Linked DNA regions of Macaca fascicularis. The protein of the gene in region 7 purifies or fractionates together with the protein of the main gene of each other region. This does not show direct contact. Links are inferred from orthologs where the notes say so. Each region holds a gene or a part of one and is shown on either strand. Other genes may lie near its edges.

Region 1 (4,084 bases), on a different chromosome or scaffold from region 7:
TAGAGACTATATAAACAAATCAAATGCAGTTATTGGTTGATGATAATAGTGATAAATAGAACATTGTAATATGTTTAAAGCAATAAGTGTGTTGGTTTTCATTACGATTTCGACCATAATAAGAAAAAGACTTAGTGTGAGAACTGTTTTTCATTGTAAAACATTCTACAAATAAGTGGATCTTTTTTTTTAGTTTGCCAGATGAAATCATTTTTTAAAACAACTTGCAGGGTGACTTTGATTGCCCTGTTATATCTGTTTTATTGGTAGTCTGAAGTCTGTCAGGCTTTCCATTTGAAACCCTTACTTTCAGGGGTTTATGAGCAGACAGTTGAAAAGAACTTAACCAGCAAAAACTTGGCATTCGTGATCTTGGTTCAGTATAAGGTACTTGCTTTAACAAATTTTAAGTAGTCAGCTCTTTCTTAAAGTTGTAAGGAGCACAAAGAGGAATAAAGGAATTTCTTTGGTTAAACAGATAGGGAATATTTTTCCAGCCAACTTATCCCAATTAGATTTATATAGCAAACTTTCCTCTCCCAGAAATTTTTAAAGTATGTACGTTCCTATGTTCCAGTTGCCACAAGATCTTGCCTCAAGATTTTCCTTTTCCTTTGCTATAGTTTATAGCAAATACCTTCTGCCTCTGCTCTTTTTCTTCCTATTTATGCTTTTTAAATTCTTCATACTATAATGTATTTACACTAAAAATGGTGTTGGCTTTCTTTTGGCTTTTTTCCTCCTCTTACAATACCAGCTTGAATTTTATCTATTGGTTGTAAAACAATATTAACTTTGAGAGATGTAAAATAAATAGCATTGATTTACTTGAAATTAAACTTCTAAAATGCAGACCATCAAAACTCTTCTGAAGAGTTGTCACTCCAAGACTAGGCAAGTTTTTTTTTCTTCTTCTGGAAAGTGTCGATATCAGCTTGAGTAATTTGATTTTCTTCACAATCTGTTTTTAACTTACTATCATTTGCATGGTGAACACTTAACTACTACTGGTCCATAAAGGTGTTAGTGGGTTGTTGTTATTTCACTTAAAAAAAAAATCATTTGCTGAAAGCCTATTACAGAAATGTAACCTACTGCAGGAAGTGAGGTGATCTTTTGAAAATCTTGACTTTCTCTCTATTCCGATGATACTTTGCTTCAGGCAAGAGGCTTTTAGGTGCTGCTAAAGTTTTTGAGATCTGGGAAAATGGCGTAATAACATGACACCAGCTCTTAAGCAGCAACATCTGCTGTGGTTCAAAGCCACACAAAGAAAGCTGCTTAAGCAGTCAGATGTTTTGGACTACACAGACATGTGTGGTTCAACTGCAAAGACTGCATAGTAGAGGAAGCTTAAGGCTGTTAAAGACTGGAGTTGGGGAAGATGAGCATCTTTAAGAAACAAACATCACCTTGTCCTCCAGGCTATCGAAGATCTTTGTCAGAACCTGCTTATGCAGATTCAGAGATAGGAACAAGTTTAAAGAGTTATCCATGGTGTGGTCCAGTGAAAAGCAAGAGGAAGAAAAATGAATCTGCTGTTTCCAATCTAGGAGAGCCACTGGGTGCTTATCGGTGGCAGAGACATCTGAGTTTTAGGTGGAAAGGGAACAAAAGGGAGAGATTGCAGAGTAATAAAGTAGACCTGTTTGAACGACAACAACAGAAGGTCATCCTGCCAAAGATGGTTAGTAATAATGCTTCCTCCTCTGCTAATGAGGTCCTTGGAACATCAACAGAGAAGCCACACCTGGTCAACAGTCGGTCACTTCGAGCACCATTCACCAGATCTGTTTCAGAACCAGAACCCCACTGCAGTATCCGATTTGTTAGACTGTGGCCAACTTCAGTTGGGTCAGTGGAGTCTGAACAGCAGGGATATTTCATCCGTGGCATTTTCTCTACTCTTTCCAATGGCTTCTCCAGGATGCTGAGTCTAAAAGGAGAATCAACCAATGAGCCAGTAAGAGAAGGTATATTGAAATGAATAAGGGGAAAAGTGGGATGGCTCAGATTTAGTTACTGTTGAAATTTTAATTATTTGTTTTATAATCAGGTGAAGCTTTTCATTTTCTCATTATAAAACAAATATATTAGCACAATTTTTAAAAAGTGATCATCACTGCTTTAGAAACCTTTTAATGACTTATAGTAATAGCAAGAAGTTAACGAATTTGGTTAATTAAGGAATTTTTTTATGATGTTAATTCTTGAACTCAATTTTGGGGCCCATGTGAAAAAATTATTTTTAATGCTCATTTGTCTCCACTGATCTACTTTTCCAGTTTAAGTGCAATTTGGAGGGGAAAATATTCAAATAATTTTTCATGACAATTGAGAATTTAAAATGTATTTCTACTATTATCTCTTCATAAACATTATTTTTAAATTAATGTTATTAGTGAGAAATGTGGAACAGAATTACACTGATAGCTCTTAAAAAGTTGGGATTTTAATTTGCTTATATCATAAAAATACTCCATTTGAATATGGAAGCCAAGCATGCAAATCTTGAATATCTGTTTAGGTGACAAAATAGAAATTTGTGTTTGATTCATTTAAGATAATAGGATTTTCAAATTTTTAAAAATCTCATTTGGGGCTGTTTAAAATTTTTAAATGTATTTCATATTGATTATAGCATTGTTAAAGCCAAAAAGCCCACAATGCTTAATTTTTTTAACTGATTGCCTTAAAAATGGTTGACCGTATCTGGTGAACAATTTTGGTTATGACTTGAGGCCTATGGTTTTTAAAAAACCTTAACACTAGAAGCTTGGTAGTATCTTCATGACCAGTTGAGATCATTTTCTGACAAGCTCTTACCATTAAGAAAATTTCAGCCTCTCATTATTAGGAGATTGAACGTATCATCAAAGGTTTAAACCCTTTCTAAAACTGAGAACTGTTGAAGAATTTTGTTATTGAAATATAATTTAATTTATTTTAAAATAAAGTTGAAGAATGCTAATGAGATCATTTCAGTGAAAACTTAAGTAATTTTCCAAATTAATGTATGCCAAAAATTCAGTATTTCCTGTAAACCCTGCCCTCCCTAGATGTTCCTTTGCTCAGTGAATTTTAATGATGCTCTTAAACATATATATTTTCTCCTTACTCTTGGCAAATAGATAATTACCTAGAGGAAAATCTTCCTCCTTAATGTGCCTTTATTAACATTCCAGTAAAATTTTTGAAAGACTTGGTTGTTTCACTTTCTTGGATATTTGTAATGTCTGTTTCCTTGCCAGGTGATCATAAGGTGATCAAAGTAAAAGAATGTCAAAGGAAGTTAAGAGTTTAAAATCTTACAGTCAGTTCCTCTAAATGGTTAGCATGTGTGCATTTGATAAAAGAAGCAATACTTTAAATTTTTGCATTTATAATCATTTTTGGACTTTCGTAGTGCAAACTTTCAGTTTTTAGCAAATATACCAAGCTATTTTTGATGGTCTACGATGTGTGAGGTGCTGTGAGGTGGTTGGTGTCCCTGCATTTTACGCATATATGGTCTGCTTAAGGAAATATAAAATGTTCTGTATTGTTTCCTACTATCTTATCCTTCTAGTCATGGAATAATATGTATGTGGAAGCACATACAGAGTTTAAGTTTAAGGTGCTGTTTCAAGGAATTTAGATTCTAATAACTAAAAAACAGTGCATTAGCGTCCTACCAGTCATATAACAACATTTATAAAACAGTTCCTCTGCTATCTCCTCAGTGCTTCGTGTGTGTGTGTGTGTGTGTGTGTGTGTATGTGTGTGTGTGTGTGTGTGTGTTTGAGAGGAGGATTAAGCTCTTAAGACTGAAATGTACTGTTTATTATAAAGACTGGATCAAGTGCCTATGCAGAGGTCTCCTTTTCTCTTTTGGCAGTAACTTCTTTCTGGCCTAGTGTCTACATCACTGGTTTTCTGACCTTTTGCAGTTGTGAGCCTTTCTTCATCCCTCATTTCCCACAACAAAAGACTACCAAATAAATGACTAGTTTGATTTTCTTATCTAAGAGAAAGTAATTAAAGTTAAATTCACTAAGTTAACAAATTAAGAAGTAAATTTATAGGCAAGAGCTAGTATCCTAAT
Region 2 (3,500 bases), on a different chromosome or scaffold from region 7:
GGTGTATATATGGTAGGAGGGGTTCTTGTGGGGCAAGGGTTTGGATTTACTCATAGGATTATCAAGTCCCAGTACTGTTAATAAAAATTGTTGGCTTAAAAAATTTACTCAGAAACCTGGGATATATAGAGTTGTTGAGCTGAAATCCTAAGCTATCATGTCATATTTACAAAATAATGTCAAGTGATAAAAGGAACAAAGAGCCCACTGTGGTGGCTCACCCTATAATCCCAGCACTTTGGAAGAAGGCCAAGATAGGAGGATTGCGTGAACCTGGGAGTTCAAAACCTGGCAATATCCTGTCTCTAAACAAAATACAAAAGGCAGGCAGACATGGCAATGCATGTCTGTAGTTTAGGCTCTTTGGGAGACTAGGGTGGGAAGATTGACTGAGCCCGGGAGGTCAAGGCTGCGGTGTGCTGTGATTGCGCCACTGGACTCTAACCTGGGTGACAAAGCAAGACCATGTACTCCCCCAAAAAACAAACAACCCACAGAATTGCTCACATTGCATGCTCACATATTAATTTTTAGCATTTCTTAACAATAAAGTATCTTTATTTTTATTTTTATTTTTTTTAAAGTATCTTTAATTAAGATATCCACATTGTAACTTTTATATGCACTAGGAAACCAAAAATTAGCACAACTTTCTTTATTGCAGTGGTCTGAAACAACCTGCAGTATCTGCAAGGTATTCCTGTAGTGTTATCCATATTATTTTAATTTTCTGGAAGAGAATGATGTTCAGGTATTACTAGTGTGACATGAAAATAGTAAAAACAGCTGATTTGGCCTAGCAGAAATGTGTATACTTACTTGTTTTTTTTTAAGTTTCCTTCTAAGATTCTCAGGAGATATTGGTACATCTCAACTTAACAGAAAGCAATACAATTGGCAATGACCACCAGATATGCAGCTAGCAAGAATCTAGAAGGGTAACACTTTAAAACTATCAAAAATAGATCTGGTTCCTTTATCTACAGTCCAGTATTATTAACAAGCTAGGTAGGGAATACACAATTTTAACACAAAAATACCTAACAGTGATGAAGAAGCAAATACATTCAAAGCAAATGGGGCAATCAGAGAGAAAGCAGTACAAGAAATATTCAGAGATATTTCAGACAATGTAGAAGTACCCAGTACTACAGCCGAAGTGCTCACACTACGTGGATGCTTGGTTTTCTCCACAAAGTGTATGAACTTGTGGATCTATCCACACACTCAAGAGCATGGGTGCTAGAGATGCCCACTGTAAACAAACTCAATGAACTATAAGGATTCTACCCAAAAGGTCAATTTGTAAAATAAAATCATATCCAAGAAGCATTAATTTAACCAAACATTAATTTCCAAATAAGACAGACATCTTATGAGAAAAAAACTAAAATACCACTTACCATGATGGTTCCTGGAGCTGACTCTGATGAACTCACAGGGCTTTGGTATGGGATCCTGTTATGCACAGAACTCTGGTCATAAGAGGAAGAAGTTGCTACTGGACTAGCAGAACTCAGTGATGAGCTGGTCAGACTGCAGGAGGTAATGACAGAAGTTGTATATGTGGAGTTCTGTACTGCACTGGTCATTGGTAAAGATGTATTCAAAGGCTCACTGAAAAGAGTCAAAGATATTCAACATAATTTTGTTACTTTAAATAGCTTCATGAAAAAAATAAAAATAAACAGCTTCAAGAGATGCAACTACTTCATCAATTTATTGTCCCAAATGAGACTCACCTAATTTACTGAGAGATAGGGGGACATCTTTAAGAATACTTAGGCTGGGCACAGTGGCTCACGCCTGGAATCCCAGCACTTTGGGAGGCCAAGGTGGGCAGATCCTGAGGTCAGGAGATTGAGACCATTCTTGCCAACATTCTGAAACCCCATCTCTCCTAAAAATACAAAAATTAGCAGAGCATGGTGGCGGGCGCCTGTAATCCCAGCCACTCTGGAGGCTGAGGCAGAAGAATCACTTGAACCTGGGAGGCAGAGGTTGCAGTGAACCAAGATCGCGCCACTGCACTCCAGCCTGGCGACAGACTGCGACTCCGTCTCAAAAAAAAAAAAAAAAAAAGAATACTTAAGAAGATTCTTTAAGGAATCTTAAGGAATTCTTTAAGGAATCTTTAAGGAAGATTCTTTAAGGTGTTTGAGACCATCTTTAAAAAGGGAACTTAAACAAGTATCAGGTTTTGCCTCTGGAATGCGGAAAAACTAAAACAACAACAACAACAAAGTCAGCCAGGCACGGTGGCTCATGTCTGTAATCCCAGCACTTTGGAAGGCTGAGGCAGGCAGATTCATTGAGCTCCAGAGTTTGAGGCTGGTCTGGGCAACACGACGAAACCCCGTGTCTATAAAACGTATTAAAAAATTAGCTGGGCGTGGTGGTGCACACCTGTAATCCAAGATACATAGGAGTCTGAGGCAGGAGGATCACTTGAGCCTGGGAGGCAGAGGTTGCAGCGAGTCAAGCATGCCACTTCACTCCAGCCTGGACAACAGAGCAAGACTCTATCTCAAAAAAAAAAAAAAAAAAAAAAAAAACCCCACAAAAAAACTAAAATCTGAGATTTTGTATTTATAAAATATTCCACTGAAGAAAATTACTGCTGCAAAGATGTGAAGAAATTAGATCCCTCACAGACTACTGGTAGGAATGTAAAATGCTACAGCCACAGTGGAAACAGTATGGGAGTTTCCCAAATGGTTAAGTTACCATATGACCCAGCAATTCTACTCCTGGGACATACATCCCGAAGAACAGAAAGCATGCAAAACTTGAAACCAAATGTCCACAGTAGCACGATTCACTATAGTCAAAAAGAGCAAACAACCCAAATGTCTACCAACTAATCAATGAATAAAATGTGGTGTATCAACACAATGAAATATTTGGCAATAAAAATGATACATTAAACATGGGTGTACCTTGAAAACTTATACTAAGTGAAAGACCAGACATAAAAGGCCACATATTCCAAGATTCCAGTTATATGAAATGTCCAGGTAGGCAAATCCAGAGACAGATTATTGGTTGCTAAGGGGCAGGGCAATGAAGAAATTGAGACTGTCTGCTACAGGTATGGGGTTTCTCATGGAGATGATGGAAGGTCTGGATAAACACTGAGGACAGCTGCACAATCTATTACCACAGGATGTATTCTTTCCACCAGGTGATCTCTTAGGGTCTATTTTGCTTCATAACGAAGGACTAAATTCAGTACCTTAAAGACTTCGAATACAAGTTGATGGGAATCTGATTACTATTTTCACTGCTTGGAGCTGATCCAAATTCAGAGAGAGAAGGTTCTGACCCAAATTCCAGAGCCCCAAACTGCACATTTAATCCCGTGACATCTGCTGAACCAGGCATTTCCACTGCAGAAGCTGGGATCTGAAAAAGCAAAGCTGTCATGTCAGGAGCAGAGGTCACAGATTCCAGGTCACAAAGGCCTGTAACAGAGCCAAACAAGCATTTAGGTTCCCAGG
Region 3 (3,500 bases), on a different chromosome or scaffold from region 7:
ACTATGGCTTTTCCACCTGATTGTCTCCGCTGGAGGTGCATGGCTATTCCTCTCCACAGGATCCGATGGCTTGATTATAATGCTGCTCCGAGAGACCACTGTTTCTGGCCTGTTCTTCAGGGGCCCATCTGCCATTCTCTCCGCTTCTGCAAGCTGCAGGGTGATGTCATGTTTGTGAATGGAGAGCTCAAAAGGGGAGCTGACATGGTTGCTAAATGATGTGAGCTCTGCCGGCCCCACCTGGATATTGCTGGTGGATGTGTGCCTCTCCCTCAGGGCCTCACCCAGAGCAGCTCTGGGGCTGCTGCTGTCAGAGGGATAGATAGTAATGCTACTTGTCACTTTGTTTGGCCCTGGTTTGGAGACAGGTTTCTGTTTCTCCAACGTAGTCTCTGTTCCAGATCCTCCCATGATTTTTTTCACATCCTTATCAACAATAACAGGTTTGATGATGGCTCTAGATCGCAACGCCTCTCTGGGGCTAAAGGGCCTTTGGCTTTTTACCCCAGCACCATTGGTATCTGGGAGCTCCATGGCATTGGTGGAGGCTCTGACAGATTTCACAGATTCATTCTCTATTCCAGCATCTTTATCATTCTCAAACAGGGAGGTTCTAGGTACCCCTCGGGCTTTGGCCTTTTCTCTAGAGTTAGGCTGTGGTTTGGGCTCGGGCTCTGGAGTGATGGTTGTATTTACCAACTTGGCAGTAACAAGAGATGCTATGTCCAAGTCATCATCTGAGTCTGGCTTCTCTCTGCCACTGGATTTGATGACTCGACACCTCAAGGCTTCATGCTGACTGCTGTCTTCCATCACAACTGCTGCAGGTTGATCAACCCCTTCTCTATGTGAGGTTGAAAATCCCTGAAGGATGTTCTCTTGGCTTCTAGAGCTATAAGGATACTTTGATAAAACAGGAGCCTTGGAATTTGAGGAACTGGTATTGGCCTCAAGGCCATTGGCAGCCTTTTTGCCTTTAGAGAACCCTTCTGAGGAGGATCTTCGAGATGAGGCCAGAGCTCCAATGGCCTTAGAAGAGCCAGAGTTTGCAGCGTGAGTTACTTGACTTCCATTGCCAGGTACATGTCCCCTCTTGCCAAAGACAGACTCAGAGGAGGTGTCAGAAGCCTTGTCAGCTCTACCCAATGTGTCACTGGGAACAGATCCGTGGGTGGTGTCACTAAACGTTCGTGTTGTCTTCTCCACTTTTCCCTTCAGTCCGCTCTCGGTGCCCGGCTTGGGAGTCCCCTTCCACGCTTTACTGTGCTCCTGAGCAGCGGGGGGGTAGCGACTCAGCACTGAGGGCTGCTCCCTAGACTTCTTCCCTTCGCTCTGGGAGGATCCGGGTGCAAATCGGTCTTCAGTTTTCTTTGTCTCCTGAGTTCCACTGTCTGTACTCGCCCCCATGTGAGAAGCTTTTGCTGCCCTCCTGTTGGCGAAACTGGGAGAAGAAACCTGCCTGTTGCTCAGAGAACAGTTTTCATTGTTGACAGCAAACTCCCTGTTCCGGAGTCGTTCCCGCTTATGCTGAGGAGACAGTTCCCGTGCTGTGTGCCTGGACGCAGGAGCCTCACTTCCGTGGCCTCTAAACTTAGTCCTCTCATGTCTGCCTTTGCTGGACAGGAAAGCATCTTCCCCTTCTACCTCCCCATTTTCTAACTCTTTCTGTTTCTTGATTTGTAGCTTTATCTCCTCCAGTTGGCTGGCTAATAATTTGTTTTTATTTTGCTCACTTAGGTAATTATCCTGAAGGTCATTATTTTTGGCTTTCATTTTCTTAAGCTCTTCTTCCAACGATTCAAAGTGTTTGATTTGTGTTTTAAGTTTCTCAATCTCCTGGTTAAGGTCTTTGACTTTGTTGTCTTCCTGATTGCGGTTCTTTTCGTTTTCTGATTTGTTTCTTGTTTCATTCTCCACCTGCTTTAGGTAGTCCAGAGCGCCCTTCCTTCTTGATTCTTTGGACGGCAGTGTAGATGAGATGCCATCCTCAATCCGAAGGTCATTTCTTTCCAGATTAGAAGCATTCCTTGTATAATCTCGGTTCATTTTTTTGTTCTGCTCTAGTTTTTGAGTGAGTTCTTTTATCAATTTCTCATTTTCTTTCTCCTTTTCATTCAAGTATTTTCTCTCACTTACAAAGCTCAGAGTTAATGATTTCAGCTTTTCTAACTCTGACGCTAAACTCTGCTCAGTTTTATCCAAGCGGTCCTCAGAAGATTCTAGTTCTTTCACTTTGACTCTGAGCATTTCTAGCTCAGAGGAGATTTTCTTGGTCAGATTTCTCTCCTCATTCAGGCTCAAACACAGCTGGGTACAGTCATTCTTACTCCTGCTGAAGGCCTCTTCCAGCTTCTCTAATTCAGCCATTCGTTTCTGAAGCCGCTCAATCTCAGATTTCAGCTCCCGGGTGAGGTTTTCTTCCTCTTCAAGTTTCTCCTTCATCAGACGACACAGATCCTCTGCTCTCTTAATCTCCTCGTCTTTGCCTTCAATTCTCAGCACCCGCTGGCGCAGCACTTCAATCTCCGCCAACATGCTGGAGTTGCTACCTTCTGCCTGAATCACCTTGTCCTGGAGATCCAGGAGCTCATCCTCTGCTTTCTGGAGGTTTTTTGTGGCTTCTTCCAACTCATCAAGGCGGCGGCTTAGACTCTGTAGCTTAAATCGCAAGTGGCGGCTGGAGGCTGTCTCCTTGTAGCTTGTAAATTCGGCCATGTCTACTGCCAGCCAATGTGGACTCCTAGAGGCATCCAACTCCACTCAAGGGGATGAGAAATGGTTACCTTTCTCTTGGCAACCACAATCTTCTTTGACAGCTGGAGACCATCATCAATCTATGGAAGCAAAGTAGAAAGCACGTCAGTCAGCAAATGTAAAACCTGCATGTTAGCTCCCAGTTATAGAAAAGAGCTCCTATCTGTTCCTGGTGCCTGGATCATAGGAGGGGCTCAAACTCGTTGAATGAATGACAAACAAACCTGCAAGAAAACACTGGTTCTTTATGGCCAATATTGAGTTGATACCTCGTTTCGCCCTAATAAAGAATGTCACCAGTGGCAGCATGGCAAAAAGACGTATAAGAAGCCTCAATTCTCATGGCAGGGTATAGTAACATCATTACCACCTGCAACCTGCATAATCTCAGGAGAGTCATTAACAATGTAAACTGAGCCTCAGTTTTACTTAGTGGTAAAATGGGCATAATGATGTCTACCATATTTCTCCCCAGTGTTGTTCTGAGACAATATGTGGAAGATCTTGGTAACAAAGCAATAAACAAACCTAAGATTATTTAAAAAAAAAAAAAAAAGATTATCTCTTATGAGCTATTGTGACTTAAAAGTGATACAAATTAACCCATCTGCCTTGCTATAAATGGTGAGCTTCACAATATACTAAAGCAATCTCTCCACGCCCGTTTTCAACATCTCTTCTCCCAAAAGTGTATTTGTAAGTGGAATTCAGGTGTGAGTTGGCCCCACCCAGGCAACAGGCAGCTT
Region 4 (4,300 bases), on a different chromosome or scaffold from region 7:
CTGAGAAAGGGGCCAGCAATAAGGAATGACAGACAGTAAGGCAATCTTACAATGTCAGAAAATGTATTTGGCTTTTTTTTTCTTTTTAAAATAAGTGCATACAAATACAGCTAGAAGCATTTCTGATTTGCCAAGTGCTCTAAAAAAGCAGCGCAAGTCACAGCCTACATAGAACGGTAACTGTCACCAGGATAATAAAGCACAAAGATATGCTAATAACGTTAACAAAAGAAAAAAATGCCTTTATAAGTACATACCTTTTGTCGTCAAAAAAAAATATAGAAACACAATGTATTCAAAAAAAAATCAAAATTATACAGCCATGTTTATGAAGTCTACATTTCCCTTGTCTTGGATATATATATATATGGAGATATATATATACAATTCAAGCAGTTTTAATTAAGGGTAATCATTGGGTTTTTCTGAAACCGGAAAGTCACGAGTCTCTCTCTTTTTTCACTTTCACATCTCCAGCAAGGATGGTTGCAATTTCCCCTTGCATAAAGGCCCAGGGGACATTGGAGCCCACAAGAGGGCATTTTTCCCCACTGGGACAATAGACCTCTCCACTAGCTCCCTGCTGTTTGATGCTTTGTCTGGAGCAAGGGAAGCAGAACTTGTGCGAAGGGACGGACGGGCACTGCACAAAATGGGTGTCCTCCAGCCGCTCGTGGCAGAGGGTGCAGCACAGCGGGGCACTGGCTGCCAGAGAGGAGTCCGGGAGGCTGGCAGGGTGCACTGGCTCCAGTCCTCCTGTGTTGCCTGCTCCCTGGCCCCCCACCTCTCTGGGGCCCAGCCTTCTTTGGTTCATAGAGGACGGAGAGGGCGGACTGTTGCTATTCCTCCTGGTAGTGGAGTGAACCTGGTTGGCATCTTTTGAGGCATGACTGCCCCCTGCATTGTCTGCTACTAAGATCAGGGCTGCCATGGGGGACTGGCCATTCTGGGCCGCTTCAGGCGGTGTGGTCCGGTTGGAATGAGGTGAGGCAGTGGGTGGTGGCGGAGACACAAAAGAGGATGTAGGAGTCATGGGGATCTTGAGCCCTTCTGTGGATGTGGACAGCCACGGCTGGGCCTCTCCATTGATCTTAGGGGGCCCGACTTCACCTTCTGGTTCTGGAGAGGGCTTCCTTTTCCTTGCTGTTCTTGCAACTGGAAACACAAAGAAATAAAAGGAAAAAGGAAACATAAATGGCGGTGCACTGAAAGGGATCCTTCCCTTCCTAACCCGAAACAAAACTCGTTACAGAATTCCTCCTCTCTAAAAGCACAGACGGAAAACCCTCCTACGAGTTTCAGGTGCACATACACGCAACTTGAAACATTTAGGCGTGTGGGGTTCTGAGGCAGTAGACTGAAAATAAAACGGAGCCACTGAAAATGGCAGGCTTGTAACTGCCTGTTTTTACACATGCACAAAAGTACCCTAGTTTGCACTGGGCATGTGACTGCTAATGTCCCCCAATAGGTTAAAAGGTGACTAGTGCCCTCATGCTCCCATCCAAGAATGTGCTGGGAAAGGAAAACCCCGTGTCAGAGCGTATCAGCCCAGTCTGACTCATCTCTGTTATGCTGCTTCAGCACATGAACACGTTGCCACTAAGCACTGGTTCCGCCTCAGGCAGATCAGGAAGTGGGGTGTTTGTTGTTTCTGAGCTGGGGTAAAATGGTGAATCGAAAGAACCACCCCTCCTCTGCTCTCCGTCCCCTTTTCTCCCCTAGAACCCCTCACTTCACAGCCGCCCCTACCTGCTTTAGACCCGTTGGCCCCGTTGGCCTCGAAACCCAACAACCTGCCTGCAGTCAGGGCCGGCTCCTTCTTAAACTTGCTCTCGAAGGGCCCCGAGTGGCCGTGCTGGTGCAGCGCCAGCAGCGTGTCGCGCACGGTCTTGGGCCTGTTGACCCAGTCCTGCTCTCCAGACCCGCGGCTCTTGCCCGCACCTTCCGCGCTCAGCTCGGCGGCCCCGGCCGCGGTGGACAGGCTGTCCGCCGGGCCCCGGTGCGCAGGCGGCGGCGGTTGCTTCTCCTTGGCTGCCGCCTCGCGCTGCTCGTGCTCCACGGCCGCGCTGCTCGACACGGATGCCGGCCGCTTGTGGGCGCCCAGGTCGGTGGGCTGCGCGGAGCCCAGGCTGGCGGCCGCGGTTCCGGACACCGCGGCTAAGGAGGCGGCAGCGCGGCCGCCGAGGCCGAGCGCGGTGGGCAGCGGCGTGGCCGAGCCGTTCATGAGCGGCACCAGGGTGGGCGGCACCGCGTGGCCGCGCCGCGGGTTCGGGCTCTGGCGATTCAACTCGGGAGGCTCCTCTAGCTTGGAGAAGCCGTTGGGCACCAAGATGCCGTTCACGGGCGGCGGCTGCGGCGTCGGCGGCTGGGCCAGGCTCGCGGCCGGACGACTGCCGCCGAAGTCAGAGCCGAGGCGCGGGGGCCGCTCGGCCGCGGCCGCCAGGGGGTAGCGCTCCAGGGCCTGCGGCGCGCGCGGGGCCGCCTCGGGGCCGCCGTGGCCGAGCTGCTGCTGCTGCTGCAAGAGGATGTCCTTGGCCGAGAGCGGCGGCGGCTTGGCGGCGGCCGGGGCCGCGGCGCCGGGCGGGGAGCGACCCTCCGGGAAGCAGCCGTGCGCCCGCTTGAGCTGCCGCGCTGTCTCGATGACGAACTCGACGCGGTCGGCGCCCTCGTAGTTGACGCAGCCGCGGCACACAGGTTCGGTGAAGTCCCAGATCATGGCCCAGGGCATGCGGGGCAGATCACACAGGTAGCACGACTGCCGCCGGGACGCGGCCGCCACCGCCACCGCCGCGGCCATGTCCGAGGAGCCCGCGGCGCCGGAGGAGGAGGAGGAGGGGGCGCCGCCGCCGCCCCCCACCGGCACCACGCGCGCCCTCCTCCCCCCCCAACCCCGCGTCTCCCCCACCAGCGGCGGCGGCGGCCGCAAAGGCGGCGGCGGCGGCGGCAAAGCCCGCGAAGGCTCGGCGCCCGCGCAGCGCCCCCGGTGCACGAGGGGCGGCGGGCGCGAGGCGAGGGGCTGCAGCCGCGGCAGCAGTTCCCCCCGGCCGGCGCGGGCGCGGGCGGGCGGCGCGGTGCGGCGGTGCGGCGGGCGCGGCGGCGGGGGCTCGGCTGGAGCCGCGGCGGGCCTCCAGACCGGGGCGAAGACGGGCCGCGCGGGCGCGGGGGAGCGCAGCAGGTCGCGGCGGCGGCCGGCACAGTGTGCGGGGCGGGGGGCGGGGAGGCCGGGGGGGCAGGGGGCGGGGGGCGGCCGCCGGGGCAGGCTCAGCCCGAGCGGCGGGGCATGCCGCGCCGGGGCGGCGGCGGCTGGGCGGCGTGGAGCTCGGGTGCGGCGCAGGCCCCGGGTCGCTCCGCCGCTCTCTCACAGCTCCTGGCGTCGCCGCTCTCCAGCGCCAGCGTCAGCGGCCAGCCCGCCTCAGCTCTGCCGCCGCCACCGTCGCTGCTGCTGCTGCCGCCGCGGCCGCTCCACTTCTACAGACTTGATTCTTCGACAGTCTCGCACAGCGCCTGCGCGGGCCCCCTCCCCTCGGGCGCGTGCCCGCCCTCCCGCGCGCGCGCTCCCCTCCCCCCTGCGCGCCGAAGGAGCGCTGTCGGGAGAGCCGGCTCTGTGGCGCCCGCCCGCTCGCGGGGCAGCGCGGCAGCGCAGCGCTGGTGTCCCCTCGGAACACGGCGCAAAGTGGTCGTGTGCTTTTCCTCCACTTTCCCTCACTTCACGCCCCACCCGGCTGTCTCGACCACCCTCAGGATGTTTTCCCCTGGTGTGCCTCTGGACCAAATCGTGCTAAAAGCCATTTCTTTTTCTTTTATGCAAGGCCACTTTGTCACTTGGTTTCCGTCAGTCTCCTGAGAATGGGGATTTTAGGTCTAGCGTGGTTCACAGTTCTGGTTTTTTAGGAGTTATACTTGAAAGCTCAATGTCGGACACAAGAGCATGAAATCCGTCACTGGTGCTTTGCATTTGCATTTGTCTTGGGAAGGACATACCCGCCGCCTGCCCCTTTTACTAACTAGGGAGAATCTGGATGTTCCCAAGCCCAGCACCACGTGCACACGCCGCCAGCTGGCTCGCGCGTTTTCCACGGAGCCCTCTGGAGGGGAGGGAGCGCGGTTCGGATTAGCAGCTCGCGAACACCAAGTGCTGCTCTTAGCCCCGTCCAGCCCGCCCTGTTCAGCTAGGGCCTCGCCGCGCCAGTTGCCCCGGCCGCCTTATGTAGGTCTGCGCGGCGGGCGCGTGACGTGGACTCGGGACCGTGGGCGGCCGCCGCCGCGTGTGCGCACGCTCCGCGCAGACGTGCCTCGG
Region 5 (4,167 bases), on a different chromosome or scaffold from region 7:
TCCGAGAGCCAGCTGGGCCTGGGCAGTAGATTTGTGGGAGGGTCCCCTGTTGGGACTCTGCCGACATGGAGTCCTCAGGGCTTGTGTGCTCTTAAAGCCACAGGATGGGACGATCACCTCCTTTCTCCAGGCCACGCAGCCAGCGCCAGAAAGCTCTGCAGCTCCCCGCACAGTCTGGAGAAGGGCTTCCTTCCAGTTTGAAGTCAGTGTTTCTATCTCATTGCCATGCTCGCCCCCACTGCTACATCCTGCACCAACCATTGCCACTTTATACTGACCAGGTGGAACCAAACACTGACATTCCACACGGCTCCCCATCCCTCCCCAGGGAGAACAGGCCCACAGGTGGTGCACCTGTGAGGAGAGTGGAGGCTGGCCACAGGCCTCATCAAATCTGCCTCCCTTGCTCAAAAGCCCTGCCCAGAACATGCCTCGGTCTCAAAAAAGAGTACACTGGGACCTAACCCACATGCCTCATAATCTTTTAAGCAGAAACAGCAAGCAGATTATGGGACAGGACAGATCATGCTAGTAGGATTAAGCTTAGAATATCCCAGATAATCTCAGATGCCCCTCCCCCAATGGGGCAAGAGAGTACTTCTGAGGGTTAAGGGGAATAAGAAAAAGAAGGAAGGGCTGGGTGCAGTGGCTCACACCTGTAATCCCAGCACTTAGGGAGGCCAAGGCAGGTGGATAACTTGAGGTCAGGAGTTCCAGACCAGGCTGGCTGATGTGGTGAAACCCCGTCTCTACTAAAAATACAACAATCAGCCAGGTGTGGTGGCGTGCATCTGTAGTCCTGGCTACTCGGGAGGCTGAGGCAGGAGAATTGCTTGAACCTGGGAGGTGGAGGTCGTAGTGAGACAAGATCGCACCACTGCACTCCAACCTGGGTGACAGAGCGAGAAGCCGTCTCAAAAAAAAAAAAAAAAAAAAAGAAAGAAAGAAAACGAAAGACGGATAAAAGAAAACAGAAACATGGGAATACTTCCTTTGCACAAAAATGCCAAGGTCTAGAATGAAGAGATGGTGAAATGAAGTCAGCCTGCAGGAAGGCGCACTGCGCCGTAATGGGACTTGGGGATGGGAAGGCCGACACAGACAGAGGTGTCAGCAGGACAAATACAAAGTGTTTCTGAAAAGAGCAAAGATTTCCAGTCCTCTCTTTATTCCCAAACACTCTGTAGGTAAAGCAGGGCCTCAGTAAACCCGAGAAGCAGAAGGCCTGGCCTCCTGCCTGGAGCAGCTTCAGTTCAGACTTTTCTTCATTCCTAACAGCAGAAAGAGGCTGTGCAAATGGGAGGCCCTCAGCAGAGCCTGAGGAACTCTGGGGTCTTAGCTCCTGGGAGGCCACACGTGCTTGGTGGCATCCCGCCTGTCACGGTCCCTCCAAAAGCTCCCAGTGATCAGTGGCCTTTCTTTTTTCTTTTTTTTCTTAAGACAGGGTCTCATTCTTTGCCAGGCTGGAGTGCAGTGGTGGAATCTCGGTTCAGTGCAACCTCTGCCTCCCAGGTTCAGGGGATCCTCCTATCTCAGCCTCCCAAGTAGCTAGGACCACAGGCAAGCACCACCACGCCCGGCTAATTTTTTGTATTTTTAGTAGAGTCGGGGTTTTGCCATATTGTCTTGGCTGGTCTCGAACTCCTGGCCTCAAGTGATCTACCCGCCGCCACCTCCCAAAGTGCTGCTTTCACAGCAAAGAGTCACCCTGCTCGGCCAGTGTGGCCTTTCTTCAGGCCATCACTTGCCAGCCACAGGCTGTGGCTCTGCCCCTCACCGGACACGACGTCACAGCCGGGATGTGAACAGCAGATTTTGATCTCCAACTCCAGACAATCACTGATTTACTTCTGCAAACCGGAGCTGTCCGGTCTTGCAGGGTCGGACCGTGTAAACAAGCCTGCTGCCAGGCAACTGAAGACAGACACACGAGTAAAGACGCCCCACAAGGAATGAAAAACAAAACTCCTCCTGGGAAACCCAGATTTGGGATTCGGAAACGGGCTTGAGATTAACCTGAAGCTTCATGACGTCTTACTTTCTGTTTCCACTGCCTTTCCTTTTCCACTACAGCGACGCCCTCCGCTTCACGTGCCAAGTCCTGACTTTCTCCGAATAGTTGCCGACCCAGCACCCCGTAGGCCGTCCCCCGGGGACGCCGATGTCCTCTGGAGCACAGCGTCCGCTGGCGAAGCCGGGTGCTTGCCCTAAGCGCGGACACTTCCGCAACCGCCCAACAGTTAGCAGAAGCCCGATGCAAGGGACGCCCCATTCTCCCATCCCAGGGAAACTTCGCTGGGGCAGCGGTTCAATCGGGTGTGGGTCTCGCAGCCGCTTTCCCAACTTAAGGCTCTGCGTTTGGGCAGGCTCGGGACCCGCCGCCCTTCCTGGCGGGGGCAGGGCAGGCTCCCCGCGCGTAAGCCGAGGTGTGGCAGGGCCCCTCCCCGCAGCCCTCTCGCGCCGTCCACCGCGGCCCTGCTCCCTCCCGGTCCCCACGGGCCCCGCGCCCGCGCGCTGCCCTCACCGGGCTCCAGCAGATGAGCGCGTCGGTGTCCGGGTCGCTCACGAGGGTCCACAGCTTGGTCAGGAAGGCCGGGACGTTGCTGGGCCCCGCCGCACCGGGGCCCACGGGCAGATCCATCTCGGGCAAGGCGGGAATAGGCGGAGGGAGCGGCCGCGAAGAGGGGCCGAGGGCCGGGCTAACGCCGTTGCCGCGCCAGCCGTCCGGGCCGAGCCGCCGCCCGCTGCGCACACACAGCCCCAAGGCCCAGCATGGCCGCCGCCATCTTGCAACGGGCGCGCTCCCGCCGCTGCCGCCGCCGCTGCCGCCCTCTCGCGTCCCCCCCCGGCGCGAGCACGCAGGCCCCGACCCCGCCCCGGCCCCCGGCCCCGCCGCGCGCCTGCGCGTGTTGGTCCCGCCCCCCCCCCCCCGCCCGCCAATCGGGGCCGGGCTGGGCGGGGCGCGTCCTCCTGCGCACGCGGCCGTGTCGCTGCCGGAAGCGGCTGTTCGGGTCGCGGCCGGCGCGCGGCGGGACATGGCGGGTTCGCGGGGCACGGGGCGCACGGCGGCGCCAAGCGTGCGGCCGGAGAAGCGGCGGTCGGAGCCCGAACTGGAGCCTGAGCCCGAGCCAGAGGTGACTGCGGCAATGCGGGGCGGCGAGGCGCGTCCCTAGAAGGCCCAGCGGGCACGTGGCCGCGCTGGGGCGGGTGGGCCCGGCTGCTGTCACCTGGGCGCCCGTGCCCAGTGAATCGGCCTTGGGCGTGGGCGCAGCTCCTCTATCGGGGGGTCTTAGGCAGAGCAGACTGCAGGGTGAAGGACGGCGTCCGGGAAGCGAAGAAACGGGGGTGCAGGGAGTGGGGATAAGCGCCCCTTGCAGCAGCCTCTCCGGCCGTTCCATTTGTGCGTCCTGCCAGTAAAAGGGCTCGGCTTGCGCCCCCAGTAAATGCTTAACCTACTTATGCGCTAGTTAATCGCGTTTTTATGCTCATGGGATAGACGTGAGAATAAGAAAACCTGAATAGAACCCAGAGTCTGCTGCGTTTGTTGTATCAGAACTCACTGTTGCCCTCTGCCAGCTCAGCCCCGTCTTGGTTGTGGGGATCGTCAAATTGGGTGGTGGAGGGAATGGACAGCCAGCCTCTCACAGCCCCCTCGGCCGCGTTGGGTTGTTGAAACTGCCCCATTGCTTTGTGAAGCGAACTCAACTAATCCTGGTTCCCATGGGCTGAACGGCCCGCAGGCCGCTCTAGGCGCCAGGTTCTGCTGCTTGCACCCTTGAGTTAAATGGTCTTCAGGAGCCAGTTGTTTGTGCTCAGGCCATGCATGCCATTTCCACTAGTTATTGTGGTTGTGTAGCTGACTGAGGACCAAGACACATCATGACTGTGTGAGAGAGGCATTGTGTGAACACTCAGTATGCAATAGCTAATACATCCAGGTCGTACCTTAAGTGAGACTTGTAAACTGTTAGGAAAGCAGTAAAATCTAGAATTCTACATTCAACTGCTTCCATTTTCTTTTCTTTCCTTTTTCTTTTTCTTTCTTTTATTTTATTTTCTTTTTTTTTTTGAGATAGAGCCTTGCTCTGTTGCTCAGACTGGAGTGCAGTGGCACAATCTCGGCTCACTGCAGCTTCCATCTCCCGGGTACCTCAGCCTCCTGAGTAG
Region 6 (3,500 bases), on a different chromosome or scaffold from region 7:
TAAAATTAGAGGCAGGTTGACCAAATTGTCATGTAAGAAATGAGTTGCTGAGCTAGGGTAGTCACAGGGGCTAGAGAAGTGGTACATCTGAAAGCTGTTGCGCAGTAAAGATCTAACTCAGTGGCAGCTTGTACAGAGGGAGAAACAATTGTTTAGTATAGTTTTGAAGTTTCTCATCTCAGTTTTGTGTGTAGTACCTGGGACTTTTCCTTATATAAAGTGTTTTAGGCAAGCTTAGTGGCACATAAACATAAGTAAACACTTCTATAAAACCTTGCATCCCCAAAAGTGAATTAATTATATTTACTGTTCCAAACAAGTAGTGAGATAACTAGAACTTAAAATAACAATGATTTGGAGAGTTGCTTTATTATAACAAAAGATGTTCCTATCACCCAGGAAATTCTAAGGGTAAAGAGCTTTGTGTCAGGCTCCCCTATCATTCAGGAAATTGCAAAGGCCTTAGGAGCTCTGTGTCAGGAACCAGGGTAAAAGACTGTTGCAACAAAAGATTCTGCTAGTACCCCTGTCTGCAAGGGTTTTAGGTGCTGTATGTCAGGAGCCAAGGAAAGAGACCTATATATATATATTAATATGCCATATATTCCCTCTGCTCAGAATTCTTTCCCTGCTCATCATTCGTTAAGAGCTCAAGTCAGCTTTTAAATGAAGCTTACCAAATATGCACACCTACTATGTACCCACAACAATTAAAAAATTTAAAAATAAATGGAGCTTTCCTATTCCTGAAGGTGGTAGTGGTTTATCCCTCCCTGAAGTGAAATTACCCTCATGAATATAACACTTATCTTTCTTAGCAATTTCTTCTTTGGATTATTGCTATTTCTAAACATGGTATATTTTTTTCAATCTGTCAGCTTCCTGAGGATAATATTCTTGTTTAATTTTTATTTTTATCTTTAACGGGCCTTGTCAAGCTGTTTAATAAACAATAATTATTTTTTTCTGTGTTTCAGGTACTATTCTATGAATTTCACATATATTATTCAGTCTTCCAATGAACTTTAGAAGTTACTACTATTATATCTATTTTACAGAGAAGGACTTAAGGCCCAAGTAACTTGTTCAAGGTCATGTAGCTAGTAAGTGGTAGAGGAGGCTTCAAGCCCACTTTCTGGCTCCAAAGTTTATACAATTAACCATAACAACGTACAGTATTTGCTAAATGAGCAGAAACAAAAAGGAAGGAAATTCTGACACGTGTTGCAACATGGATGAATCTTGAGAACATGATGCTAGTGAAAGAAGTCAGTCACAGAAGGATAAATACTGTATGATTTTATTTATATGAGGTCAAATTCACAGACAGAAAGTAGAATGGTGGTTGCCAGGGGCTAGGGGAAGGCAGAATGGGGAATTGTTGTTTAATGATTACAGAGTTTCAGTCTGGGAAAATGAAAAAAGTTCTAGCGATGAGTAGTGGTGATAGTTGCCCAAAGATGTGAATGCTTAATGCCACTGAACAGTGTAATTTAAAATGGTTAAGATGGTAACTTTTGTTATATGTAGTTTACCACAATAAAAAAGAAAAGTAAACGGTGCTATGAAACATTGAGCCCTCATTACATATTAGGTGTTGGCTGTGTATCTTACATGAATTATCTCATCTAAGCATTATAGTAATCTTATATAAATACTATCACTCCTACTTTACAGCTGAGGAAAATGCAACTCAGAGTTATGTAAAGTAACTTACGTTGCCTAATGTCTCCCAGTTATTGTCAGTAGTAAAATTAGGATTGGAACTGTACTCCTAACCATCATGCTGGAATGTTTCAATAGTCAAAAGAAAATCACCCTTGAGACAAGTATTTGTTGTTTAGTACATGCTTTTAAATGCTAAGTTTTATTTCAAATTTTAGTTTTAAAATTCTGGCTGGGCAAATGTTGTTTACCTTTTAATAAGATCTGTGACCTTTGAGAGAGTACCTTGTGTATATGTTGAGTTAATTGTTGGGCAAATTATCTGTGAAGTCTGATCAAAATCATGGTAAATCATCACTTCTGCCTGCTTATCATGAGTTTCCTTTTTGTCTTACACTTTAAAGGCAATGGTTTTTAATTCTTTCAGTGTGTAATTTGAATACTCTTTATAAATGACTTTTGTGTGATGCTAGCACGTGGGACTGCTTATGAATTACCACTTTTTTTTTTTTTCATCAACAGCCCATGCATGATGACTATGACTTAAGACAAGAACAGTTGAACAAAGCTTCTCTTCTCTCATCAAAGAAGTTTCTGGAAAACTTACTGGAGAAATTTAATTCCCATGTGGTAAGTTATAATTAAATTTGTCTTCATGGTAGGTCTCATGCCGTTATTGAAAGATAATCTAGAAGTGCGACATGGATGATTTTTTTTTTTATTATAGCCCCCAGCTTTGGTCAGTATTGGTCACAGTTCAGCTTGGTCACTGATAATAAAATATTTTGTCTTAGGACTGTATCCATTAATCTGGGAAGGATACATGTCAAAGCCTTTAGATTTTCACAGTGATACTCCAATTTTTGTTTTTTCTTTCTTTAAAAATGTCATTATCAAATAAACTGCTCTAAGAAAATTAAGGCAAATCTTTGTTCATCAGTTCCTGATAATTTTGGAGATGGGCATTCTATAGCATCTTGAAGGAACATGAGCAGATTGCCAGAGTTTTTTAAATATTAAGGCAAATCTTTGTTCATCAGTTCCTGATAATTTTGGAGATGGGCATTCTATAGCATCTTGAAGGAACATGAGCAGATTGCCAGAGTTTTTTAAATATTGGCAAAGATTTCTTTTATGCAAATAAACATTAACCTTTGTTATACACATTTGAGAAGTCTTGGTTATACTCTTGAAATTTGACTGAATTTTAATTGATCCTTTTGAGGTATGATGGATAATGGATTCACTGTGTGAGCAAAGCAAGTACTAAAGAGTCATCCAACTTTGAACCTCATGTTGAGAAATTAAAGTCAATGTTTATGTCTGACATATAGAATAACAGAAAGGAACACATTATTGTTACAATGTAACTGAAGCTCCCCATCTTCAAGTCTTTAAGAGAATCTGTTGCTTTGTTTCAGGATCATGGGACTGGTGCCCTAGTTATTAGTTCACTCTTGGACTTCCTTACCTTTGCCCTCTGTGCTCCATATAGTGAGACAACTGAAGGGCAGCAGTTTGATATGCTCTTAGAGATGGTAGCATCCAATGGAAGAACCCTTTTTAAACTTTTTCAGGTGAGAGCTTATAGTTTTCTTATCAGATAGCAGTGAATTTAAGGGAACCACTTTTAGGATCACTGTTTCTAAGATAACATTTGCATACTTCTACAGCAGAGATGTCCAGTCTTTTGGCTTCCCTGGGCCATGTTGGAAGAAGAAGAATTGTCTTGGGCCACACATAAAATACACTAACACTAACAGTACCTGATGACCTAAAAGAAAAAACAATCACAAAAATGTTTTAAGAAAGCTTAAGAATTTGTGTTGGGCTAC
Region 7 (4,026 bases):
CCTTAAGGGCTTCAACTCTGTTCAAGTATTTAAATGACTTTGATCTCTGATTAAAGGTGCTGGTTCAGCTTTAGACTATTATTATCTATCATTTTCTGTGCCGTGTACATTAACATCCTTGCAGTGAGAGGCATAGAGCTATCAGGAGAGGGGACCAAAACCTAACTTTTTAAGTAGACTAATCTTTGTATCCTCAGCTCTATTCCATCTTTTACCGACAGCTGGTGCCTGACCTAGAGGCCTACTGCATCTTTTTGTTAACATTAAAAGTTGGCCTGGCGCGGTGGCTCAAGCCTGTAATCCCAGCACTTTGGGAGGCCGAGACGGGTGGATCACGAGGTCAGGAGATCGAGACCATCCTGGCTAACACGGTGAAACCCCGTCTCTACTAAAAAATACAAAAAACTACCCGGGCGTGGTGGCGGGTGCCTGTAGTCCCAGCTACTTGTGAGGCTGAGGCAGGAGAATGGCGTGAACCCGGGAGGCGGAGCTTGCAGTGAGCTGAGATCCGGCCACTGCACTCCAGCCTGGGCCACAGAGCGAGACTCGGTCTCAAAAAAAAAAAAAAAAAAAAAAAATTAAAAGTTGAGGACTTCTTAATGCCAATTATTTCACTCAGAATATTTATTTATTTATTTAGACAAGGTATCGTTCTGTTGCCCAGGCTGGAGTGCAGTGGCGAGATCTCGGCTCACTCAACAGGAATAATTTTAATAGCAAAAATTAAAAACTCCTTCATTAAGCCGGGCGTGGTGGTTCACACCTGTAATCCTTAGAATGATAAAAATGAAGTAAATTCACTTTGTTTCCTACATCTACCTAGATAGGGAAAGATGGAGTAGCTTTTTCTTTTTTACTTAATAGCTTCAGCGTTGTCCGGGCATTCGTTACTCTCATCTTAGTATAAAGTGGTAACAGGAAGGTCAGGTGAGTGTGGGCTGCCTAGGAGCTGCACTTAACTGCCTTCTGTTTCACAAAAGGACCTTTTCTCCCTATATCACAGGACCCTTAATGTCGTTGTTCTTGCTTTGAATTATGGGTGCTGGAAGAAACTAAACGAAGCCATCACTGAGCAATACACCCACAACCCATCGACCGATAGGAACCTTCGTGTGGGGGAAGTTGGTTACTTTTAGGCTGCACGAAGAGGCGGGGCCACGCGGGGCGGAGCTGGGGGTGGTCTGTGGGTCCGGGCGGGCTTCGGGTAGTTCCTGGGTCCGAGGAGCAGACGATCCGCTGGCCACATTAGGCGCTCAGTCTCTGCGTCTGCCCCTCCCCGTGCCTCAGAGACTTGCGCTCCCCAGGCCCGAGCCCCTATCGGCCCATCCTCGAGCCCCTGTGGCCCGCGAACCTCTTAATTCCAGCCGCTGCAGCCCCCTCCCAGGCCCGGCGTCCCCGAGCCCCGCGGGCGCCGCGCCTGCCCTTCTTTGGCCACGCGGCAGCCGCGGTGTCGGCGAGTCCTCCCGGGTTGCCCCCGCGGGCGTCAGAGGGAGGGCGGGCGCCCGCGTGGTGACGGCGACGCCTGCAGCCCGAGGAGCGCTCCACTCGCCGCCGCCGGAGGGGCCGGTGACCTCTCGGCTGCCCCGCGTCGGAGGCTTAGATGGCTCAGGCGAAGATCAACGCTAAAGCCAACGAGGGGCGCTTCTGCCGCTCCTCCTCCATGGCCGACCGCTCCAGCCGCCTGCTGGAGAGCCTGGACCAGCTGGAGCTCAGGTGAGCCGCGGGCGGGCGGGCGGTCTCGGGCGTTCTGCTCGCCGCGCGGGCGGTTAGCGGACGGAGGCCGCGTGTGGCGGGCCGGGCCCTGGGGCACAGTGAGGCTGCGGCAACAGAAGTTGCTTGTTGAGATTTGTTGTGGATGGACGTGGTGTAGTTTTGTTTATTTCTTGGATTTTCTCCCCTTGTCCAAGAGAAAACGCATTGTAAGCTAAACCTGTGAGGGCGTGATGGTGGCCACACTTTGATTAACTTACCTAGGTGTTGGGGAGCAGGAAAAAGAGGAGATAAAAGTTAAGAGGTGAGATTCCATGCGATTAACGACTGTGGCAGCGTGGGTCTGCAGAGCTTCTAGAACCTTCTGTGTGGCCCCAAATGTTTTTAACTTACTCTTCTCCCGTCATACATTTTTAAGGGAGGCAGCAGTTTACAGTGGCCCTCCACGTGAAGTTAAGTTTCCTTGCTTCAGAACACTTAAAAGAGCAAAAATGAATAAAACAAAACCAACCCAGCAATCCATTGAGACCAAAGATTAGAGAGGAGTGAGGGGTAGGCAGTAAGTTACCGGGTGCTTCGTGCAGTAAAGACGTTGCGGCTTCTCTTTATCCCCTGACCTGGCGGACGGGATTCCGCGGTTCCGTTTGTCTCTCAGTATTTATTGGGCACCTCCCTACATAGAAGACGAAGTGTTAGTCACTGGCCTGAAAGTATGAAAAGATAGTTTTCCCTTTTTCTTGCTTAAGATTTTATTAGGTAATATAGTAGTAGACTTGTACAGAATTTCTAAACAATATAATGTTAATAGATTTTTGGAAAGACTTTAACGGTATATTGAAAAGTTTTATCTACTTCCTGTGAACGTTTGTCTCAAGTTACTGTGTAAATTTTGTGAGCAACTGTAGTTAAAAGAAAACCTTGTTAGGCACCTGGAATTCCCTGAAACTGTACACAGGAGTTGGTTCCATAGTTTTCTCTAGGTTGTGCATGAGCAAAGAAGCATGTGAGCCAAAAAGTTCAGGAAACACTGCATGTGTGTTTTATCTCCCTCCATTAATACACCCAAATATGAAGTGTCCGTTTGCCGAGAAAATACTTCAAAACCACGGCATCTCTTTTAACAAGTAAGGCATTATTATTGTTACTATTGGGAGAAAAGAGCCAGAGAGTGAGAGATTCTCCGCTCAAAATAATTTCTTGGATGGCAGCAGAGAAACCTAAGCCCTACACGAGGTTCTGGGGTTCCACTCAGAATGAGGCAAGTGGAAGAGAGAAATAATGCTTCCTCATGGATTTTCACAATACTAGCAAACCTGACCCGTTCCACTCCCAGAAAAAGTAAAGCGCAAGTAGAAATTGGTGGCCTCAGTTACTGGAAGTCCCTCTAACTGATGTTTCTTTTTAGGGAGCCGCATAACAAGTAACACACCTCTCTCCATGTCTTCAGAACGTTGAGGGCATGTTCTCAACCACTTCACTCGCTCTCCCCTAGTTAGAAAGAAAAGATTTTTTCCTAAAGGAATGGGTAGGATGTTACTCCACCCCGCCTTCCTTCAAGCTGAGTCATTGTCCTCAAACTTGAATTAATGCCTCACATGTGGTAGGTACAAAAGCCCTCTGAAGTGCTCCTCTTAAAAAGAAAGCCTCAGGTTTTGAATATTATTATATTCTAATGTTTGATTAATGTAAAATGAATTCTGATTACTGCACATCAGTGATTAAATTACAACTTGCTTAATTAACATTTGAGCTGAGGAGAAAAGTGATTAATATGTGGCTGTTCATTTCAAGGACTTTTTTTAGTAATTCTAGACTTTTGTAGGCCTTTTTTTTCTTTTTAAAAAAGTAATACTAGCTGAAAAGGAAGGATTTCCTAAGGTAAGCAAAAATAGAGAAAAATGCTAACATTGATCCTATTAAAGTGTTTTTTTGAAACCACATGGGCAATGGCATAGAACACTACACTATTAAAAACTAGAATCATGCGTACAAGATCGATTTTTAAATGAAAACATGAAACTCATATGTAATTTTGCTCTAATAGTTTGATTTTATGTTAACTAATAAAGTAGTGTAACTGGGTAGAATAAAACCTTACCGTTTGTACTTAGAAGTGTGCACGTAATGTTCCCTAACCACATCATCCTGTCAATTGTGGAAGAAATTTCATACTTCATGACCTGGAGTATGAACTGATCTACATGATTAAAATGTTTGGCAGCAGTTCTACAAACTGTTAAAGGATTTCCATTTATCTCTAATGGAATTTATCAGTACACTAGCCCTTTTTTTAGACTGCATTTTGTCTTCTGTATT

What was found.
Region 1: the proteins of BAG2 (region 7) and RASAL2 purify together in Homo sapiens (affinity purification with mass spectrometry; 3 studies listed by BioGRID and IntAct, with this or other methods). This does not show direct contact. The link is inferred for Macaca fascicularis from reciprocal best matches to the Homo sapiens genes BAG2 and RASAL2.
Region 2: the proteins of BAG2 (region 7) and UBAP2 purify together in Homo sapiens (affinity purification with mass spectrometry; 3 studies listed by BioGRID and IntAct, with this or other methods). This does not show direct contact. The link is inferred for Macaca fascicularis from reciprocal best matches to the Homo sapiens genes BAG2 and UBAP2.
Region 3: the proteins of BAG2 (region 7) and LUZP1 purify together in Homo sapiens (affinity purification with mass spectrometry; 3 studies listed by BioGRID and IntAct, with this or other methods). This does not show direct contact. The link is inferred for Macaca fascicularis from reciprocal best matches to the Homo sapiens genes BAG2 and LUZP1.
Region 4: the proteins of BAG2 (region 7) and IRF2BP2 purify together in Homo sapiens (affinity purification with mass spectrometry; 3 studies listed by BioGRID and IntAct, with this or other methods). This does not show direct contact. The link is inferred for Macaca fascicularis from reciprocal best matches to the Homo sapiens genes BAG2 and IRF2BP2.
Region 5: the proteins of BAG2 (region 7) and HSF1 purify together in Homo sapiens (affinity purification with mass spectrometry; 3 studies listed by BioGRID and IntAct, with this or other methods). This does not show direct contact. The link is inferred for Macaca fascicularis from reciprocal best matches to the Homo sapiens genes BAG2 and HSF1.
Region 6: the proteins of BAG2 (region 7) and DNAJC13 purify together in Homo sapiens (affinity purification with mass spectrometry; 3 studies listed by BioGRID and IntAct, with this or other methods). This does not show direct contact. The link is inferred for Macaca fascicularis from reciprocal best matches to the Homo sapiens genes BAG2 and DNAJC13.

The regions. Positions count from the first base shown.
Region 1 is NC_088375.1:35,792,832-35,796,915, forward strand, and holds the start of RASAL2 (ras GTPase-activating protein nGAP), read left to right. Parts: upstream 1-1,284; 5' UTR 1,285-1,384; coding exon 1,385-1,973; intron 1,974-4,084. UniProt on the Homo sapiens protein: Inhibitory regulator of the Ras-cyclic AMP pathway.
Region 2 is NC_088389.1:65,451,256-65,454,755, reverse strand, and holds part of UBAP2 (ubiquitin-associated protein 2), read right to left. Parts: intron 3,406-3,500; coding exon 3,236-3,405; intron 1,618-3,235; coding exon 1,404-1,617; intron 1-1,403. UniProt on the Homo sapiens protein: Recruits the ubiquitination machinery to RNA polymerase II for polyubiquitination, removal and degradation, when the transcription-coupled nucleotide excision repair (TC-NER) machinery fails to resolve DNA damage. May promote the degradation of ANXA2.
Region 3 is NC_088375.1:212,044,410-212,047,909, reverse strand, and holds part of LUZP1 (leucine zipper protein 1), read right to left. Parts: intron 2,835-3,500; 5' UTR 2,716-2,834; coding exon 1-2,715.
Region 4 is NC_088375.1:14,524,370-14,528,669, reverse strand, and holds the start of IRF2BP2 (interferon regulatory factor 2-binding protein 2), read right to left. Parts: upstream 2,801-4,300; coding exon 1,753-2,800; intron 1,156-1,752; coding exon 440-1,155; 3' UTR 1-439. Other genes in the region: uncharacterized protein, read left to right, coding at 2,799-3,785. UniProt on the Homo sapiens protein: Acts as a transcriptional corepressor in a IRF2-dependent manner; this repression is not mediated by histone deacetylase activities. Represses the NFAT1-dependent transactivation of NFAT-responsive promoters.
Region 5 is NC_088382.1:153,969,930-153,974,096, reverse strand, and holds the start of HSF1 (heat shock factor protein 1), read right to left. Parts: upstream 2,801-4,167; 5' UTR 2,642-2,800; coding exon 2,525-2,641; intron 1-2,524. Other genes in the region: ribosome biogenesis protein BOP1, read left to right, coding at 3,036-3,134. UniProt on the Homo sapiens protein: Functions as a stress-inducible and DNA-binding transcription factor that plays a central role in the transcriptional activation of the heat shock response (HSR), leading to the expression of a large class of molecular chaperones, heat shock proteins (HSPs), that protect cells from cellular insult damage.
Region 6 is NC_088376.1:35,412,197-35,415,696, forward strand, and holds part of DNAJC13 (dnaJ homolog subfamily C member 13), read left to right. Parts: intron 1-2,187; coding exon 2,188-2,295; intron 2,296-3,086; coding exon 3,087-3,242; intron 3,243-3,500.
Region 7 is NC_088378.1:114,546,289-114,550,314, reverse strand, and holds the start of BAG2 (BAG family molecular chaperone regulator 2), read left to right. Parts: upstream 1-1,226; 5' UTR 1,227-1,600; coding exon 1,601-1,713; intron 1,714-1,763; exon of another isoform or gene 1,764-3,310; intron 3,311-4,026. UniProt on the Homo sapiens protein: Co-chaperone for HSP70 and HSC70 chaperone proteins. Acts as a nucleotide-exchange factor (NEF) promoting the release of ADP from the HSP70 and HSC70 proteins thereby triggering client/substrate protein release.